4 linked regions of the Neodiprion lecontei genome follow. Each later gene encodes a partner of the first gene's protein in a complex. Links are inferred from orthologs where the notes say so. Each region holds a gene or a part of one and is shown in the gene's direction. Other genes may lie near its edges. The genes, in order: mediator of RNA polymerase II transcription subunit 23, mediator of RNA polymerase II transcription subunit 4, mediator of RNA polymerase II transcription subunit 18 and mediator of RNA polymerase II transcription subunit 19.

Region 1 (4,630 bases):
ATTAAACGTGGAAATGTAAGTATTTGTTAAAATTATTAAGATAACCTTGTTTTTCTTGTCTTTTTTTTTGGCGGTCTTAGACTTCTTAGATTTTTTCCAATCTCCCTTTCCCCTGCGAATAAAAATACACGATGAGTACTATCGTCAAGTTTTAGATTGAGTTTTTTCGTGACAGATGAAGTCACCGCTGTAAATGTTGGGTAAACAAACGTAACGGTTTGAGAGGTTATACCTTTGAATGTCCGCTATATTCCTGAACAGCTCGTGAAAGTATTTGGCATAGTTGTCAGGCTCGGGTAAGAATTTGTCGACATCACCAGACACCATGGTTTAGTAATGATAAATCCGATTAAATAAACTACCGCAAAAATCACTTGGTCACTTCATTTTGGTTATGTTATTGATCGTTGACACTTTTCCCATGTGATCACACTTATTTATAAATTTCTCTAATTATCCAGATAGGAGAAAACATTTTCACAATTTGAACAAACTTGATTAATGTTATCAGATTACGAAAAATTAAAAACTAACGATTACTTAATATCAATTTATCAATTATATCATTAAATTACAGTTCTCATTCCCCCAATTCGCTTAACCGTACAGCTGCAACGTTTATCGTGCTTGAAAGTTGAAAACACAGATATGAGATTTCCGTACATCGATATCTCGAATTGCGATTGAAGTTGACTGCAATGCAGATCGATTCCACTGCCTATCGAATTTTTACCGTCGCGAAACACCGCATTTGAATGGTTCGACGCCAGAATTACATCGCAAAGTGTGGATATGTACTGCAAAAGAAATTGTTCATAGTAGAATGACAATGAAAATACCAAATCCTGTCACAAAACAAGTCTTTCGATGCACCAACGGTTTGAAAATGATTTTCAGACTCAATAAAACTCATTTTTCCAGTCAACGTTTATATTCTCAACTGCAATTAAGTTTGCTGCTAATCAGAATGCAAATTACTTATCTCAAGCATATATTTCAGCTTGAAAACAAAGGTGGCGTTGAAACATCTAATTCAAAATTTCATCAAATATCACATTGATCAGAATAATTTCTTGAAATAATCTTTTTTCTACCGATGGTTAATGGTATAATTGTCCCAAATTACCTTCACAGTTAACTTTTGCACATTACTCAATATTTTTCAATTAATATGCCATCTTTCCTCTGTTTTTATGAAAATTCGCTAAACAATGCACTGCGATAACAGCATGAGATCGTTAATTAATAACTTCTTTCAGCTACACTCGAACCGTTCCTAGACATGTTACAATTAGATAAGAAATCTCACTGGCTCGCTCGCTCGAACTCGAAGCCGCAAAAACCACGTCGAAAGCGGAAACATCGGGAAATAAAACTACGCGAGGCGAAGCAATTTTTATAGACAGCAGTAAATTAGATCCAATCGCTGCAATTCTCGGACGATAATGCCGCTGGAGTTCCCCGAGTTAGCGCCACTCGCGTGGTTTCCCGGCTCTCCCCTCCTTCCAGTGCCTCCTTCAGTCAGTTTTCACTCGTATTTGCCCCAGACTTTTATCCCCACCTCGACCATACTGCACCACACCTCATTAAACTGCTGAATGAAGCCGTAGAATAATCTGTTTACACCGTACGAGGTTAGGTCGATGATTTTTTTTTTTTAACAAGTTTGTTTTGCATCCGACGCATGCATATATCTAAGTGATTTGACAGAGAGATTTGACGTAGAACAGCGACTTGTAAATATTCGCTATTTAAAAATGAGTAACGAGGCGCAAATATCGAACATCGTCAATGACATTCTTGTAAGTGAATTTTTAGGTTTGACATTACTTCAATAGTTTTCCCACATTTTCAATAAGTTTTATCTCCTTACTCGCGATATTCTCACTCAGCACTGCACTTCTGCATTTTGCACTATTTGTCGAAGGTACGACTTGTTTTTCCATCAAACAATTAATTGCTATGCATTTTTATTACACGCAGAGAGTGGAACCTATCGAAGAAGCATTCAGCTGTTTTCTCGTTCACCATCTGGATAATGAAATTGAAAAAATAGCAGGATTGCAGTCAGAATTAACATCTGCTATGACAGGTCTCAATACTGAACAACAAGAGAATGGCGTTAGACAATTTCTTAACATGGCTGCTGCGCTGACGAATCATAGTCGCTTACAACTTCTTCTGTCGTTACTGGAGAACTTGGTCATGAGTAACGTATTACCTGCAAGGTACGAAGCTACGGGAGACGCAAGAAAATTAACAATTAATAAATTCATTATCATCATTTAACGACTTTCCAGATTGGTTTGCGAATGTATCCTCAGCTGTGATAAGCTGCAGTATCAGCAAGAGGATTTTTGGGTCGAGTCTTTTAACCTCATCAGACGGATCATTGGAGGAGTGGATTACAAAGGTGTCAGAGAAATAATGAAGGCGGGTGGTCATTTCTATGCTATCATATATCGTGGAATAAATATTACACGATTGAAATCATAGCTGAAAAATGACTATACTCATAAATTTTTCCATGATCTTTCACAGGGCTGCAGAGAAAAGGCACAAACGATACCAGCAAGACTTAACGCATCTGTACAGCCGCAATTAAAGGCGCTGGAAAATGTTATCGAATATATATTTGACAGAAATGCATGTCTATTGCCTGGCTATTTTATTGTTAATGAAATACAGAAGGCCTATCCCGATAATAAGAATTGGCCGCATTGGGTGAGTTCAAAAAATCTCAAGCTAATGCTTGACAATGTTCACGATTTAGAATCGCAAGTGCTTTTCTATTTTGCTTACCAAATGAAAATAATGTATTATTTCTTAAATAGAAATTAGCAAAACTGCTCTCTGGGTTTGTCGAGAGTTTCAGAGCCACTGCGCAAATGGTGTCTATAATCGGGCACTCAAAAATGCTACCCGTAGTAGAGCACTCTGGATATGCGGACCATGTCATCAACCCATGGAGGCTCGATCCTACGACCCTTAAATTCTCCCTCAAAGGCAATTTACCCTACGATCAAGATTTGCTAAAACCTCAAACCGAACTTTTAAGATATGTCTTGGAACAACCGTACAGCAGAGATATGGTTTGCTCCATGCTAGGCCTCCAGAAACAGGTTCGATGAATGAATTAATCAATTCATTATCAGGTGTAATATATTCAAATTCAGTCAGGCGAAGAATATTTTTGATTGAATAAAAACGTAATATACGTCACACGATCAATGGCATTGGTAACTAATTTCGGTAAAAATTTATGTAAATCTAGCACAAACAGAGGTGCGTAGCATTGGAGGAACAACTGGTTGAATTGGTACTTCTGGCTATGGAGCGATCCGAAAATGATCCACCACCCACTGAGGGAACAGATATTACTGTTGCGAATCATTGGCTGTGGCTACACCTTTCTTCTCAACTTATATACTTCGTACTTTTTCAATTTGCTTGTTTTCCCAACATTGTGATGGCCATACATGACAAGGTAAAACAGAAGCTATGTTACTTGTTATATTTCTCCTTACTGTGACTCTCATTTGACCACCTTTTCAGCTAGCTGGTCGAGAATTGCGAAAGGGGCGTGATCATCTGATGTGGGTCCTATTGCAGTTTATATCTGGGAGTATTCAGCGTAATCCGGTAAGGATTAAAATAATTTTCTCAAATCTGCGCATCTGAAAAAACAAAATTACTTCATTGTAGCTTTGGAATATTTGCATACGATACATCACTTTCTTTTTCTATTCCAGCTGTCTAACTTTCTGCCAGTACTTAAACTGTATGACCTATTATACCCCGAAAAGGAACCACTACCTGTTCCTGATTTCAGTCAGGCATTGTGCACACATCAAATGGCCATCACGTGTATATGGATTCATTTACTTAAAAAAGCGCAATCCGAGCACTTGAACATTCACAGGCCGATCCCACACACGCTAAAAGTTCATCATGAGTATGTGACGTTTTTGGTGCAATTCATCGTATCGTTAATTATTGTATATGTATTCATAAATTCGACAAGTACCTATTTACTGAAATTTTATTTTTCCTTACAGCGGCCATTTCGTATTTATTGAATTAAATTTTTACACTCTCTTTATAGATTTCTACAACATTTAGTTATGCCAAATACATCATTGTGTATGGGATCTGATTATCGCATCGCTTTACTGTGCAATGCTTATTCAACGAATCAAGAATACTTCAGTAGACCTATGGCTGCACTTGTCGATACAATTCTTGGCACACAGAAGGTGATTTTTGAGCAAATAGGACATTAAACTGAAAAAAATTTATAACTATGTGTACTTGTGAAATGAAAATTTATTATTATAATTTTCAGGGACAACAGCAGCAACCCTTACAGCCACTACAGAGCAATGCTGCTCTTGCAAATGGACCAACAACGCCATTGTCTATGTCCATTCTTGATTCTCTTACTGTACATTCTAAAATGAGTCTGATTCACAGTATTGTTACACACGTTATCAAACTAGCTCAATCTAAAAGCAACATGGCTCTTGCTCCTGCCCTTGTCGAGACCTACAGCAGATTGCTGGTGTACACTGAAATAGAAAGCCTCGGAATCAAAGGCTTCATAAGTGAGTAACACTGGGTTATTTTTTAA
Region 2 (3,985 bases), on another chromosome or scaffold:
AATAACAGTCCCTTGTTAAATTTTCTTGCATCAAATTGCACGTTTTCATATGCAAACGACAAGTTGAATAGTTTACAATCTGCTGAAAGTTTCTCAACATCTCTATACATCAATATTTCTTGTAATTTTAGACCAGGAAACGTTAAGAGCTTACTGTTATATGCTGCGCTCATTATTTGAAACGTGTCCCTAAAAACAGATCATATTAACCTGATCTGTTTGGTACAATTTGTAATCTCATTAAGCACTGAAGCACAAGTACCTTCTCAAAAGCCGCAAATTACTTAGAACACCGAATTTTAACAAAAGTGGAAGTTTTTGTATCAGTCTTAAGGTTCGGACATAATTTTTCAAAAACCACGCAAGAGATATCTTCATGGCCAGCTTTACGTTCTTGCCCCTGCACATATAATAGTTCCATATAATCCAGAAGTAGCATTGTATCATCTTAGTAATTACAATCTTGTAATTCACCTGTACTTATGAGGAAGCGATATGCCTCTTCCTAGAGCCGAGGAATCACCGAGATGTAACAGCATATACAAAGCTTCCATTTGAGGTCGGTTATTACCTATTGAAAGTCTTTCGATATTTTCTTCAAAATTAGGATTACACATCGAGGATTGTTCTTCAAGTTCATCATAAAGTACTAGCAGTTGTTTAAGACACTCTAGAAGGTGCTGACTATTTATCTTCGTATCAAATACAGATATGTTTTTTTCACATAGTCTGAAAACTAATTTTATTACAATTAACTGGCAAGAAAGTATTCGTCTCTTTACCTTTGGCCTGCGTAAACATGAAATCGAACAATTGGCTCTAGGATTTGAACACTTTGAGGTCCTCGTATTCTTTGAATAACAACTTCCTGTCTGATAGCTCTCAGTCGATCAAATACAAAATCATAAATCATTACCCAGTCATAATCGACTCGCGTAACAACACTGCAAAAAAATTTGTTATATAGCATGCGCGAGCTATGAATTTATGAAAATCCTTGTCAGATGGCTTACTTAGTGAACAAATATCTTATAGTCGATAAAAGAACAGAAGCCGGTCGAAGTTCGCTTGTATCTGGCATGAGCTGTCCGGCTGCAGGTCGACTGAAGCATTTCACAATCTTTGAAGGATCTGCTTTTGGTCGTTTTAGATGTTTTGTTTTCTCGTCAACTTCGAAGGTATGCAGTAAGCCTTCTCTTTCTCTCCTGAGTAAGAATCAGTTGAATATCCACAAATTTTGATACATAAATTAATAAAAATAACTGAAGTGAGGTTTCCCTCTGGTCTTCTTCACTGATGCCGGAATAAAAATATTCAAATATACACACAACTTACATCCATCTCTCTTTCTCAGGGCACATAAATAAACACGTCCCAACTATAAAGTCAGACATCACTGTTTAGTTACACGCTCTCTAAATAAACAAGGAGATACGATCGATAATTTTAGACTAACTTAACCGAACGAACCGAACTAAACTGACGTTTCGACTGACAACAATCGCACGAATGAAGTGATCGGCTGGATGCTGGCGGCACGATGTAACTTTGTCACGTGACCACCCATGTGATCTACGCTACGATGTATACAAGTACTATCATTGGTACTACTAGTCAGGTGCATCCATTCAGCAATAGCTGTGTCATGTTAGGTTAGGTACTCAACTAATCGAATTACAGGATAGCACGACTCTCCCAATGAGAGCTTCGGCTGCTGGGACTGCCGCTTACTCACTGTTGGATGTGTGTATCGACACAGGTTACGTTTCCCAAGCGTAGCACAGCGAGTAGCGGGTTTAAAGATAAACAATGACTGGAAAGTGATAATTGTATTGTATACAAAATCTGGAACGACATAAAGGTGTAAAATGGCATCAAATCGCAGCACACGTGAAGTATTATTATCCCTTGTCGATGACATGGAATTAATAGCCAAGTAAGTATTTTCACCAGTGCTAAAAAGAGTCCGAGATTTCATACGTCGAATAAAATGGTCGGAAAAATTAAAGTAAAACGCAAAGTACGCTCGTCGTTATGTCAATTATTCACAGACCTCAAATTTCATACCTGTATTTTTATTCTCTGCAGAGAACTGATCGAGAATACGATAGCGCAGAAGCATTTGAAACTATCCAGCAGCGAGCACGCTCAACTGACAGAGTTATTAGTTGCCAAAGACAATGAGCTCAAGTCAACTTTACAACTGGCATCGGAACAGGCAAAAATAAACCAGAAAATGGATTCGTTAAAGGAAGAGGTTGAGAGGCAGGATCAAGACATTCAACAATTACAACGTCAGTTGAAAGAAGCAGAGCAAATACTTGCCACTGCTATATACCAGGCTAAACAAAAACTCCAGTCCATATCTCGGGCCAATAAAAGGCCTGTTCCTTCTGAAGAACTCATTAAATTTGCTCATAGGATTAGCGCATCTAATGCTGTTTGTGCTCCGTTAACGTGGCAGCAAGGCGATCCACGCCGACCGTATCCAACAGGTGAATACGATAGATTTATGCAGTAATGTTCCAAATGCTTATTTCAAATAATAAACTTTACACAGAAACATTTTTCTTGCTCATCAGATTATCAATCTTACACTTTTGGAATTACCTCTTTGGTTGAGTCGAATAACTTCAAAAATATTTCACAGCGATATCATTTCCCTTTCTCTTAGTGTATGTTAATTATTTCATGCCTCCTAGATATTGAGATGAGGCTGGGCGTTCTGGGGCGACTCAGCGATCTTCCACTGAACGGACAAATGATCGGATCTCATCCCGGCATTCCAGCCGAATTGCATCGAGCTGGACATCCAGCAGGTGGTGAGAATACATTAGTAGCTTATTCGATTTATCATTACTCTTCTATGCGATTCAATTCCAAATCATTTGGAGAAGTTATCCAATATATTGTTTGCTACTGGTTAGTCTTATCAAAAGAATATCGCCATTGACTTTGAAAATATACTGGAGAAGATATTTCAATGAAAAAAAAAGTTCATCTACTCAAAGTCATCGCAGCGATTTCTTGAAAGTAACTCAAAATAAATCATTTCAGAGCCTCCAGTATCTCAGGCGAATCAATTTGCCTGGCACCCGTCAGGAGAAATCCACATGTCCGTAGGTGGACAAGGTAGCGTAGCAATGAATACTCATAAACAAGAAACGGAAGACGTTGAAGTAATGTCAACAGATTCATCCAGCAGTTCCTCGAGTGATTCTCAATGAACAGTAAATATTTCATTCTTCATACCCAACTCACGAATGAAAACATTTATGATAAGGAAAAAGGTTTGAATGTTTTAATATGATTTTCAAACCATATTAATCATTGTAATCATTCTTAAGTATAACTCGACGAAGTATTTCTCATATACTTTATAAGAACAGGAATCTTAATTTAATTGAAACGTTTCTCTTTACTAATTGTACAATTAAATTCAACTGCTTAGTCATATGTATGCTGTTGTATCAATAAGTAAAATAAAATATTTTATTGAAATTAATTCCAGCTTAAACCCATTACTCACCTCTACAAGTTATTTAAAACTCACTTAGTAAAATAAGTCGAAAAAGTTTTTTTTCCAGAGCTGTGGATTATATTCTCTAGAAGTTCATGTTCTTAGTGCACGACTTGATTAATTTTCAAAAAATGTCATTGGAAAAATGTAGACAAATATCTGGGTCATGTTTGTAGGGCAAGTCTGTGTTAGGAATACAATTATTGGGGTATGTAAAGCCTTGAGCTTACTCCTGGCTTATGTGGTACGTAGAAATGAGATCAGCGCTCTCAGCAATTTGTACCAGACTTTAAAAACTGATTCCAGTGAGGCATTCAGAGGTGTATTTACTTTTTATTTTCACTCTGAGGATATCTTTCAAGTAAAGTAGTTAGTCAACCAATTTTGTGAATAATATTTTGTCATCTATTTTCTCAAATGCGTCTGCGTATTGATATATAATGAAAGTGACTGGAATTAGCTGAT
Region 3 (4,843 bases), on another chromosome or scaffold:
ATAAATGATCCTTCTCGCACCGAGAAACCTTTCCGTCGAGTTATTACGGCTGTGAGTATATTTTTGAGAAATACCTGTAAGTATGAGAATTGGGTTGTTATTTTTCACTCACATCATGGGTAAAACCGACTGAAGAATAGAATAAACAATGTACTTTCCCGAATCCAGAACATTGCACAATCTGATTACTTCAGTATAGCAAAATACTCGTAGCTATAGCATATTCGTACCTGAGTAGCAGCTATAATTATTTGAGCTGTATTTTCTTCAGCTCCATCCATATTATTCTCCCATGCAGCAAGCATTAGTCTAGCTAAAACGAAGGTACGATCTGGCAGCAAAAGCTCTTGCGCGCTGGAATGATTGGCACCTATAGGTTCGTCTCCAACCAGCGACGAACTTTGGCCCAAGACTTCAACGTAGACATCTGCAGGCTGAAATATGCAGCTTTTATATTCTTAACATAAATTTTCTCAGGTTGTATTTGCTTTTTTTTCATACAAAAATATCTGCTTTCAAATATTTGACACAGCCTTATGGCCACTTTATACATATTTCCAGAGACCAATAATGAATGAATACTTCTATATGTTAGCAATAAAATATCAAATTCCTAACAGATACCCATTTAACACTATAGTGCCTGCTATCGCACATTCACTAATTTGGCAAAATGGCAATTTTTATTTATGAGTTCATGAATTTTAATCAAACATTTTGGAAGAGAGTTACAGGCTCTCTGGTATCCTAAGGTCTTGAAATCATAAGTTCATCGACAGGTAATTAATGGCAAAAATGTTTAAAACTAAATTTTTACAAAATTTTAACTGAAATATGTATAGCAGTTTTAAAAAATAATATTCTTCAACTGAATCCGAGTACTGGCACTATATGGTTAATCACGGATTTTTTAATATTATTCCAAAACAGCTTCTTACTTCAAAATTTGATTTGTCTGTTTTATATTTTCGTTTCAATCGCAGCCTTTTCTCTAGCATTTTTTCTTTATCAAGATGAGCATTTGTATGATTGTGTTTGTTAGTTCGGACTGTTGTCACAGACGCTAACCCCTGTACTTTGTTGAACAAGCAGAGTAGAAATTCATTGTGCAAATGGACTTGATCCTCAGTCATAATGTTGCGCGCCTCGCAGTCAAATTCTTCTTTAGTTGTCTGAGAAAATCAAATAAGTGTATGATTAAAAAAAAAAAAGTAGCAAAACGATTCTTGGATATCAAGACTCAGGTAAGATATTGGTGTACCTTCATCTGAAACCACAGCTTCATTTTTTCAAAGTACCTGTAACCACAATATGATAATTAAGTATGTGTACACCCAAAGTCCATTGCGATTCCAAGGAAATCAGTAAAGGGTGAATTCAAAGTGACAGATCAGAAAGGTTTTTAACCGCTGTATTAGTATAATCAGTTATTACAGTATCATACCAAGATCAGGTTGTCGCAATATTTACAAAAGGTAATTGAGCTCAAATTGTATACACACATTGCACACATAATGTTGAGTGACATAAAAACAAACTTACAGTTTTGCGTTATCACCTAGCGATGCGACAAGGCTTTTTCTTGCTACGGTCAACTCTTTCGACGATGTCATACCGCAATCGAACCGTTCGAATTTATTTTGTGACAATAAACAGACATCTATTTGCACGCGACTCTTACATTGACATTTCGACACCTAACAACATAAGCGAACTCACTAACACGATCGTATAAAGTTGTTATATTGTTCCTCTTACATCGTGACATTGTTGCGTGCAAACGAGAAAGCAATTTTGTGCAGATTTGTGAACGTTGAGTGCGTCAGATGCGCGCGCATCAAAGTTTAATAAATTTCAATCACAAGGTTGGCGACAATGATTGTTGACAATTTGTTGGGAACAGGGAAAATTGACTGTATGCAGGCTGCAGTGACTTAACCTCGCAAAGAGACCAAATACGACGATCGGACAATGACAATTTACCCCATTCTGTAGCGACAAATCCATTAACATACCGCAGTAGAAAGTATAATTAAATACTCTGCCAAAATGGCAAGTCAAATAAGTACAGCGATGGACAGCTTAAATGCTGCTGTAAAGTCGAATATAATACCAAACCAAGAATACCTTCTGCAAGGTTCGGTTATGGACAGTGCGGTGGAAGTCTTATTGCAAAGATTGAGAGGATTGTGCGATAACGTTGATAGTAGGCCGGAGACTTTTCGTGATCATGAAATGTGTTTCAGTATCAGGAGGTAAATCTCATTCTCTTTTTGCTGGTATACATTGTCGTTATTCACCCAGAGTGCTTAGTACTTCACATTGTTTGCATATTTTCTAGGTTTCAGATGCGGCTTTAAAATTGTAACTTGCCTATTGTGACAATTTATATTTCACGATAATAATATAATGAGCCATTATTTTCTTCCAGCAAAATTTAAAAATTTACTTTGTGTTTTAAAAAAGAAGAGCATTTCAAATATAAATTTTAACCTTTCAGAGGTCCTCCGCCAGAACAACCATTGTCGCTGAGGGTGAGAAGAGCCTTAGATCATCAGGATATGCCTTGGCAGCTACGTTACATCGGACAACCCGAGCTAGGTGACAAGTCTAGACCGACAATAGTGCGAAGCAGTATAGACATTGCAACAAGCAGTACAGTTGTTGAATTCCTCACAGAATTGGGATGTAGAATAGATTTTGAGTATATTGTACAGGGATACATGTTCCGAAAGGGTAGAATGAAAGTAACTGTAGCAAAAATATTTAAAATGGTTCAAGTGAAAATACCGGATAATGTAGAACCCATATCTCAAAGCTACTTGGTCGAATTGAGCGTGCTTGCTCCACGTGGACAAGATGCAATAGCTGAAGACATGAGAATATTCGCCGAACAGTTAAGACCTTTAGTTCAGCTTGAAAAAATTGATTATAAACGACTGAGTCATTAGGGGGTTTAGAATCAGTGTCCATAAATGAATCACTGATGAATAGTTCCTAATATACAATTGGGTACAATGTTGTCTTTTCAGATTTCAGTGTGCGAGAACTATATAGCAGAAATGATAATACATCGTAGTTCTCTTATTGCGAATTTTCAAGAGGAATCTTTATGCAAGTATTATTTCAATATTTCCTACTGCAATGACCCATAGAGATTTTTTATATTGTACTATTGGATATTTACATTTGAATCAGATCCATAAAATTAGAATGAATTTGTAAAGTATTGAACAAAGTCCAATAAAGATCCGACATCGATGCTACAATTAGTCATGTTATGATACAGAAACTACTAATTTTTAACTCTTCGAATGAAGTAAAGTATTTTAAAATAATGAATAAGTACTCGCAACTGAAATTGAACTCAATCTCATTTTTAAATCTCCAACACCTACCGAACTCAATAAATATGAACTCTTGTGATTATTGCAAAAGTGTGATGAGCATGATAAAAGGGATACTAGAAGATACGTGATTTCCTGATAATCTGTTATGATTGTCAAACACCTGCAGCATGTAATTTGAGGGATGGTTGAAAGTTTGTACTATGTCTATGATAAGGCAGGACTATACCAATCATTTGCTCAGGGATGTAGGACTAATGGATGCAGTATGAGATTGGCTGGGCAGCAAAATAACAATGTGAAGAGAGATAATGAGTGTAAGGGTCACTAATTGTAAGCCACATTGGATCGTACCTTTCAACCGGAATTTTAAGGATTAGGTAATGGTACTTGATATCCTTTTAATATTGACTAACCATTTCCTCCCAGTTAGGAAGGCAGAGTGAAAAAAGTACTATGAGGTAGTCTAGCAATTTGTAAATGCTGGAAGGTAAATAAAAAAATTAGTTAGTATTAAATCGTTTAGTAAATAATCCTTAATGGTTAAAGAAAAGAACCGATGCAAAATTCTCGGGCCATTTTAACTAGATTAACTGGGAATGGAGAGTCGAGAGTTGCGTTATTGAAAATGAATCCGTGGATATTGATAACTCAAATGGCTTCGCGTTGTCGATCAGGTAACGATTATGCACCCACATCAATGTTTCGAGTATCAATGTTTTTGATTGATGGGTTTTAAAGTCGATATATCGATAATCGATGGAAAATATTGGACTATCGACATCATTATGTCAGGAATAAATTGAATTTCTGTGCCAACATCTGTCGGTAACTCATCTATAGAACTTTTCTATTAAATTTCTCACTGTTAATTAGAATGTTTCAATAATTTAATTTTATCCAATGTAATTTATATTTAGTTCTCATATTTTATTTTTATTTTGAATAATAATGATAATTCAAAACTTGAAATTTCTGCGTTCATTATTCTGTCTACAATTGTATCTAAAATTTTTGAATTTTTCGCGCTTTTATTCGTCACCGATGATAACAATCGATGTTCCGATGTTTTTAAAAGAACATCGATAGTAGACTGGTAGTAGAATTAAAACAATCGACAATAGGATGTCGCTATTTTATACTAACATCGCCCATCCCTCTGAACTCGTATCGTGTATACAGCAAACTCGGACGTAAATTGTGGATCGAAAATGCGGATGAATAATGGGACGCGATCCATTTTTTCATCCGCGTTTTCGATCCACGATTTACGTCCAAGTTTGCTGTATACGCGATACGAGTTCTGGTAACTTTTTTTCGGTCCGAGAAATCGGTCCGATTTCTAGCACTGTGTAAACACGTCTTTACTGAACTATAAGGAGACAACTCCACGTAAACAAATTCCTGCCTGAAATAAACTGGCACTGGTGTTCTGTAAACACCGAAGACAGTGAAGGGAGTATAACTTTCTATGAATTACATTTCAAGATCGCCGA
Region 4 (4,537 bases), on another chromosome or scaffold:
AAACCCTTGCCACTTGGAGGATGTAATCTGTCTAGGGGAAAATCTACCATTTTTATGATTCCATAAGTAGAGAATATTTCGACAATGTGCTCCTTGGTAACATTGCGTGTCAGCCTTCCAATATGAATTTTTGTCGGCCTTGGTGTTGGAGAACGTTCTCTACGTTTTCGCCGTGGTGAATGCGACCTGAAACAGGTGTTATAAGTTTTTTACTTTGCCTACGAAGCAAACAATATATTCTAACAGACAAATTGTAAAAGCGATAGTTTTACCTAGAACGGGCTTTGGGCTTTGGCTTTTCGGCCACTGCATTACCAGATTTCTTCTTATCTTTGTCTCTTTCCTTTTCTCGTTCTTTCTCTTTATTGTCATGCTTTCTTGAGACATCTGCGCTCTTACTCCGGCTTCTTTTGCGACCCCTGTCTCGGGAGCTTGCTGATGAACTCCCAGAGCTACTAGATGACGAACTAGACGAAGAGCTCGATCTAGAACTGCTGCCACTAGATGAACTTGAAGATGCCGAGCTGCTATCTGATGAACTGCAAAATCAATTAAGTGTAGATCGGTTCAATGTCCGTATAATGAAATTATGTCTGTAGTTGTTTGGAACATACCTCGAACCACTACTTGACGAGGAAGCAGCACGCTTCTTCTTTTCTCGCCCTTTTTCTTTCTTGTTTTCCTTGTCGGTGGCTTCTGAATCGCTCTTACCAGCGCTATCCTTGCGGCTGCGTGCCCTGGGGAAATATTTACATAATAAAAAATCAAATATTTCAATAGAATGTAATTTGTATGGTAGACTGTTCGCGAGTCACACAATAGGGGTTAGAATAAATTCGGACTTCATCATGCCGTCACCGAAGGTTTCATGAATTATCATATTTTGTTGGTATCCGAATTTACATGGGAATCCAAGATAAAAACCACCCTGCCGGTGTTTGTTGCCCACAAAAGGTTGAAATACGTTCCGAAAGCGACACTCTTAGTCACCCTTACCATACGAATAGCAACAGCGTTTAAAAAAAAAAAAAAAGCACGACACAGTTTGCTGACCATGAGCACAAAAACAATTACGGTAAATTTTGAGTCATAAAAGTAGTTTTAAATTTGCAAAATTATTACGTACATGGTTACCGGTAGTTGAACAGGCGATATGTTTTACTATCTATATTTCCTATCATAAAATGGACGTGACGATACGCTGTCCACTTTCCAGTTGTGAGCGAAAAACTCGTGGTTAAGGTATCGCGAACGCGATATCGTGTAGATATCGTAAATTTATGGTCCAGATAACATTAACACCAAAAAGGATAACCACTTTATTTATTATTTAACCCTTCAGTTTTTTTCATGCGCAAGAGTACTCGTATTTATTTCACTATGTAAAAAGCGTCATTTGCCGGCAGAAGAACGAACACACAGCTAAGCTATATGCGGTCACAGTGATGTAGAGTGTATAGAGAGTGAAACACGGTGTGCAGGTCCATTCTGTGTTCCAAAAGTGAGCGTGTACGACTCCCGCTAGTTTCATGCAGGTGTGCACTTCTAGGTTACCTAAATATTCGAAGGCCAGGAATCGTTAATGTTTCCAAATCGCAGTTTCTTGTCTGCGTCGAGTGTGGTTGAGCTCGTTGAGTGAGTTTGTCGCGATTATGGGTGTTATGTATGTCAGTTTTCATCGCGTTATTTATTGTTTTTAAACAATGTGATAAGGTCGCCGAGACTCAGCGGGCGTCCAAGTTCTTCAGCGAGGCTCCGATCCTCGCGTTTTGTCTAGCGAGATTATTAAAATAGCTGACATATGCACTAGACTGTGTAAAGTGTCGTTGATTCTCTGTGTACAGTTGCATCACACGAGGATCATCGCTGCAGTGAAATAACGTCCGGGTGGAGCATCGGCGGAGCGCACAGTTCCCATCGGTCTTTACCCTACTGTTTATTTCGCTGCAGTGCTTGTGCCAAAATAGGAAGATAAAACATTGTTACTGTAGCGAAAGGGCGATGAAGTAAAGCCAGGAGGATGATGATGGGTGATCAGTTTCGTAGTAAAGTGGAACAATACTCACCAAAATCATCACCGAGGGGAGCCCGTTCCCCTGTAGTTTCACGTCAGGACTCGACTGGAACTCTCAAAACGACGATTTCCCTCGGCAAGAACCCCTCAATCGTCCACAGTGGGCCTTTCTACTTAATGAAGGAGCCCCCTGGTGAGATTATCACTTGTCAATTTAAAACCTCGAATAATGCATAACTAAATACACGTTGCCAGTTCTTAGTTCTTTCAAGCTTAATTCAAATGTCATATAAATATTTTCTAGGGCAAAGTGAACTCACGGGGGCTACAAATTTGATGGCCTATTATGGCCTCGAGCATTCCTATAGTAAATTCAGTGGTAAAAAGCTCAAGGAACAACTCTCATCATTTTTGCCAAATTTACCTGGTATCATCGACGCGCCTGGTCACCAAGACAATAGGTACGAACTTGAAACATTATTATTTTGTATTGTAACGCGTTTAAACTATTATTCTCATTAACATATTTCTTTTCTCTTTCAGTTCTCTAAGGTCTGTGATAGACAAGCCTCCAATCTGTGGAAAAGACCTTCTTCCACTCACCAGCGTGCAACTCGCTGGATTTAGACTACATCCCGGACCTGTGAGTTATTTCATTTCGTTATATTTACATGTTTCCGTTAAAGAAACTCATTTTATTGTTGCCCCAAAACTGTCTGATATCCGTTTCTTAATGTTACAGCTCCCAGAGCAGTATCGTTACGTAAATCAGGCACCGCAGCGAAAGCACAAGAATAAGCACAAAAAGCATAAACATAAGCCTGGCGAAACTCTGAGCGGTCAAGAGGCTACTACCACTGATATAGGGGGACCTGATCCCCATGAAAAGAAGCATAAGAAACAAAGGAAGCATGACGAGGAGAAAGAGAGAAAGAAACGGAAGAAAGAGAAAAAACGAAAAAAACAAAAACACAGCCCTGAACATCCCGGAGGTCTCACACCCTCGCAGCATTCCAATACGTGATCTCCATTCTTTCCATTTTTATTCATCTAATCGATTATACATACCCGTGTGGTTCGTACACAAAGTGAAACGAGACGACGAGTTTAATTCATTTATTCAGAAATCATAGAACTGCCCATGTGCCTTGCTCAATTCAACGCAACGTAAGAAATTTAAGCTTTTTCTTAACTAAAGAATATCCCATGTTATTTTTAAACTGCAGCCAATACATGTTAATGTATTGTCGTGCATGCATCAGTTACTGTATAGGCGAAATAAAACCTCATGGCAATTACAGTAATTTTAGATAGGATGTTTATTGGTGAACTCGGCCTGTCTATCACTCTGTTTACTCACACCATTTTAGTCCTGTAATCGGCCAAAGTGTATCCAGGAATTCACGCAGTTCTGTGAAACCTAATTTCATCGTCTCAGTTTCGATAAAAGGCTGTGTGTCCAGTAGTATAGTCTAATGTCTATATAGATTGTTTTGACTATTGAATACTAAACAAAAGAAAAACTCGGTTATGAAAAAAGATTGTTTGTATTCATGACAATTTGTCAATGCCACCAGTTGTTGGAATACCGATACTAGGAATTGAAAATCTATGTGGAACCGTTTCGAATATGTTGATTGGCCACAAGAGGTACTTTGCTAATCATCGATATTTGAGCGAAGTTTCTTGTGCAAACAATTGTTACTTACTACTCTTATAATTTGATATTAAACAAGAGAAAAGTCAATCAGATGAATGATGTGTTCACAAAACAACTAGCTAATTATAAAAGAATGAATTGATTAAGAATATTTATGCCAAGTAGTAAAATAAACGCAAAATTTATTATTCACCAAATTTCAAACGGAAACCAATATTTCATTTAATGTATGGTATAACTAATTTGTAGATTGATCGAAACATGAATTATCCTATGATATTTGTACATATTACCTACAATATAACAAATCCTGTAACATTTAAACCGAATATTTGAATAATTTAACATCTAACAATAAGAAGCAATACCAAAAAATTTAAAGAAGCCTACTGAAAATGAGACTTTTGAAATTTATTTTATCAATATCGCAGGCAAGTATATCAAAATATGTCTGCACTCACTTGCAGTTAGTCAACGCTTGGAAAACCAACGGAATCCCAAGTGTGTGATCAAACTGGAGCAAAATCAATGAAAATCATTAAAAGCTCACCGTTTTAATCCGAAAACTTGAAAGAGAAATACCAAATGCGCAAGATTATCGTGCCGTTGATTATTTCATTTTTTGTACATTCGATCTATTTTTAATTTATTTAACACATTATTGCAACAATTGTATTTTATCATATGTGTTTTATCGTTCCGCGCGTATTTGGTATTGATACCTAATTATCTTTCAAATAAAGTAAGGATAGTTTTCGTACGAAAAGCGTTTTACCCCGAGAACCCTCTCCGCCTGATGCAAGGCTACATAGTCCAGAACTGGAGAGTTAGCGGAAGAGTGAGAGCGAAAGGTATATGTGTCC

Evidence for each region.
Region 2: mediator of RNA polymerase II transcription subunit 23 (region 1) and mediator of RNA polymerase II transcription subunit 4 share a complex: the UniProt entries of both Drosophila melanogaster proteins name them as parts of the mediator complex. The link is inferred for Neodiprion lecontei from reciprocal best matches to the Drosophila melanogaster genes MED23 and MED4.
Region 3: mediator of RNA polymerase II transcription subunit 23 (region 1) and mediator of RNA polymerase II transcription subunit 18 share a complex: the UniProt entries of both Drosophila melanogaster proteins name them as parts of the mediator complex. The link is inferred for Neodiprion lecontei from reciprocal best matches to the Drosophila melanogaster genes MED23 and MED18.
Region 4: mediator of RNA polymerase II transcription subunit 23 (region 1) and mediator of RNA polymerase II transcription subunit 19 share a complex: the UniProt entries of both Drosophila melanogaster proteins name them as parts of the mediator complex. The link is inferred for Neodiprion lecontei from reciprocal best matches to the Drosophila melanogaster genes MED23 and MED19.

Annotation. Positions count from the first base shown.
Region 1 is NC_060261.1:4,255,185-4,259,814, reverse strand, and holds the start of mediator of RNA polymerase II transcription subunit 23, read left to right. Parts: upstream 1-1,578; 5' UTR 1,579-1,757; coding exon 1,758-1,802; intron 1,803-1,983; coding exon 1,984-2,228; intron 2,229-2,300; coding exon 2,301-2,433; intron 2,434-2,541; coding exon 2,542-2,724; intron 2,725-2,834; coding exon 2,835-3,122; intron 3,123-3,274; coding exon 3,275-3,487; intron 3,488-3,555; coding exon 3,556-3,642; intron 3,643-3,752; coding exon 3,753-3,955; intron 3,956-4,105; coding exon 4,106-4,256; intron 4,257-4,345; coding exon 4,346-4,604; intron 4,605-4,630. Other genes in the region: E3 ubiquitin-protein ligase MYCBP2, read right to left, coding at 46-112, 233-327. UniProt on the Drosophila melanogaster protein: Component of the Mediator complex, a coactivator involved in the regulated transcription of nearly all RNA polymerase II-dependent genes.
Region 2 is NC_060260.1:6,404,865-6,408,849, reverse strand, and holds mediator of RNA polymerase II transcription subunit 4, read left to right. Parts: upstream 1-1,711; 5' UTR 1,712-1,868; coding exon 1,869-1,936; intron 1,937-2,088; coding exon 2,089-2,495; intron 2,496-2,702; coding exon 2,703-2,822; intron 2,823-3,057; coding exon 3,058-3,227; 3' UTR 3,228-3,457; downstream 3,458-3,985. Other genes in the region: germinal-center associated nuclear protein, read right to left, coding at 1-189, 263-400, 475-729, 783-944, 1,014-1,205, 1,336-1,394. UniProt on the Drosophila melanogaster protein: Component of the Mediator complex, a coactivator involved in the regulated transcription of nearly all RNA polymerase II-dependent genes.
Region 3 is NC_060262.1:34,397,774-34,402,616, forward strand, and holds mediator of RNA polymerase II transcription subunit 18, read left to right. Parts: upstream 1-1,787; 5' UTR 1,788-2,049; coding exon 2,050-2,255; intron 2,256-2,500; coding exon 2,501-2,951; 3' UTR 2,952-4,319; downstream 4,320-4,843. Other genes in the region: transcriptional adapter 1, read right to left, coding at 1-74, 231-434, 939-1,172, 1,262-1,298, 1,543-1,613. UniProt on the Drosophila melanogaster protein: Component of the Mediator complex, a coactivator involved in the regulated transcription of nearly all RNA polymerase II-dependent genes.
Region 4 is NC_060263.1:2,151,270-2,155,806, reverse strand, and holds mediator of RNA polymerase II transcription subunit 19, read left to right. Parts: upstream 1-1,585; 5' UTR 1,586-2,020; coding exon 2,021-2,207; intron 2,208-2,318; coding exon 2,319-2,475; intron 2,476-2,557; coding exon 2,558-2,657; intron 2,658-2,756; coding exon 2,757-3,038; 3' UTR 3,039-3,998; downstream 3,999-4,537. Other genes in the region: RNA-binding protein with serine-rich domain 1-B, read right to left, coding at 1-186, 273-539, 615-737, 1,127-1,128. UniProt on the Drosophila melanogaster protein: Component of the Mediator complex, a coactivator involved in the regulated transcription of nearly all RNA polymerase II-dependent genes.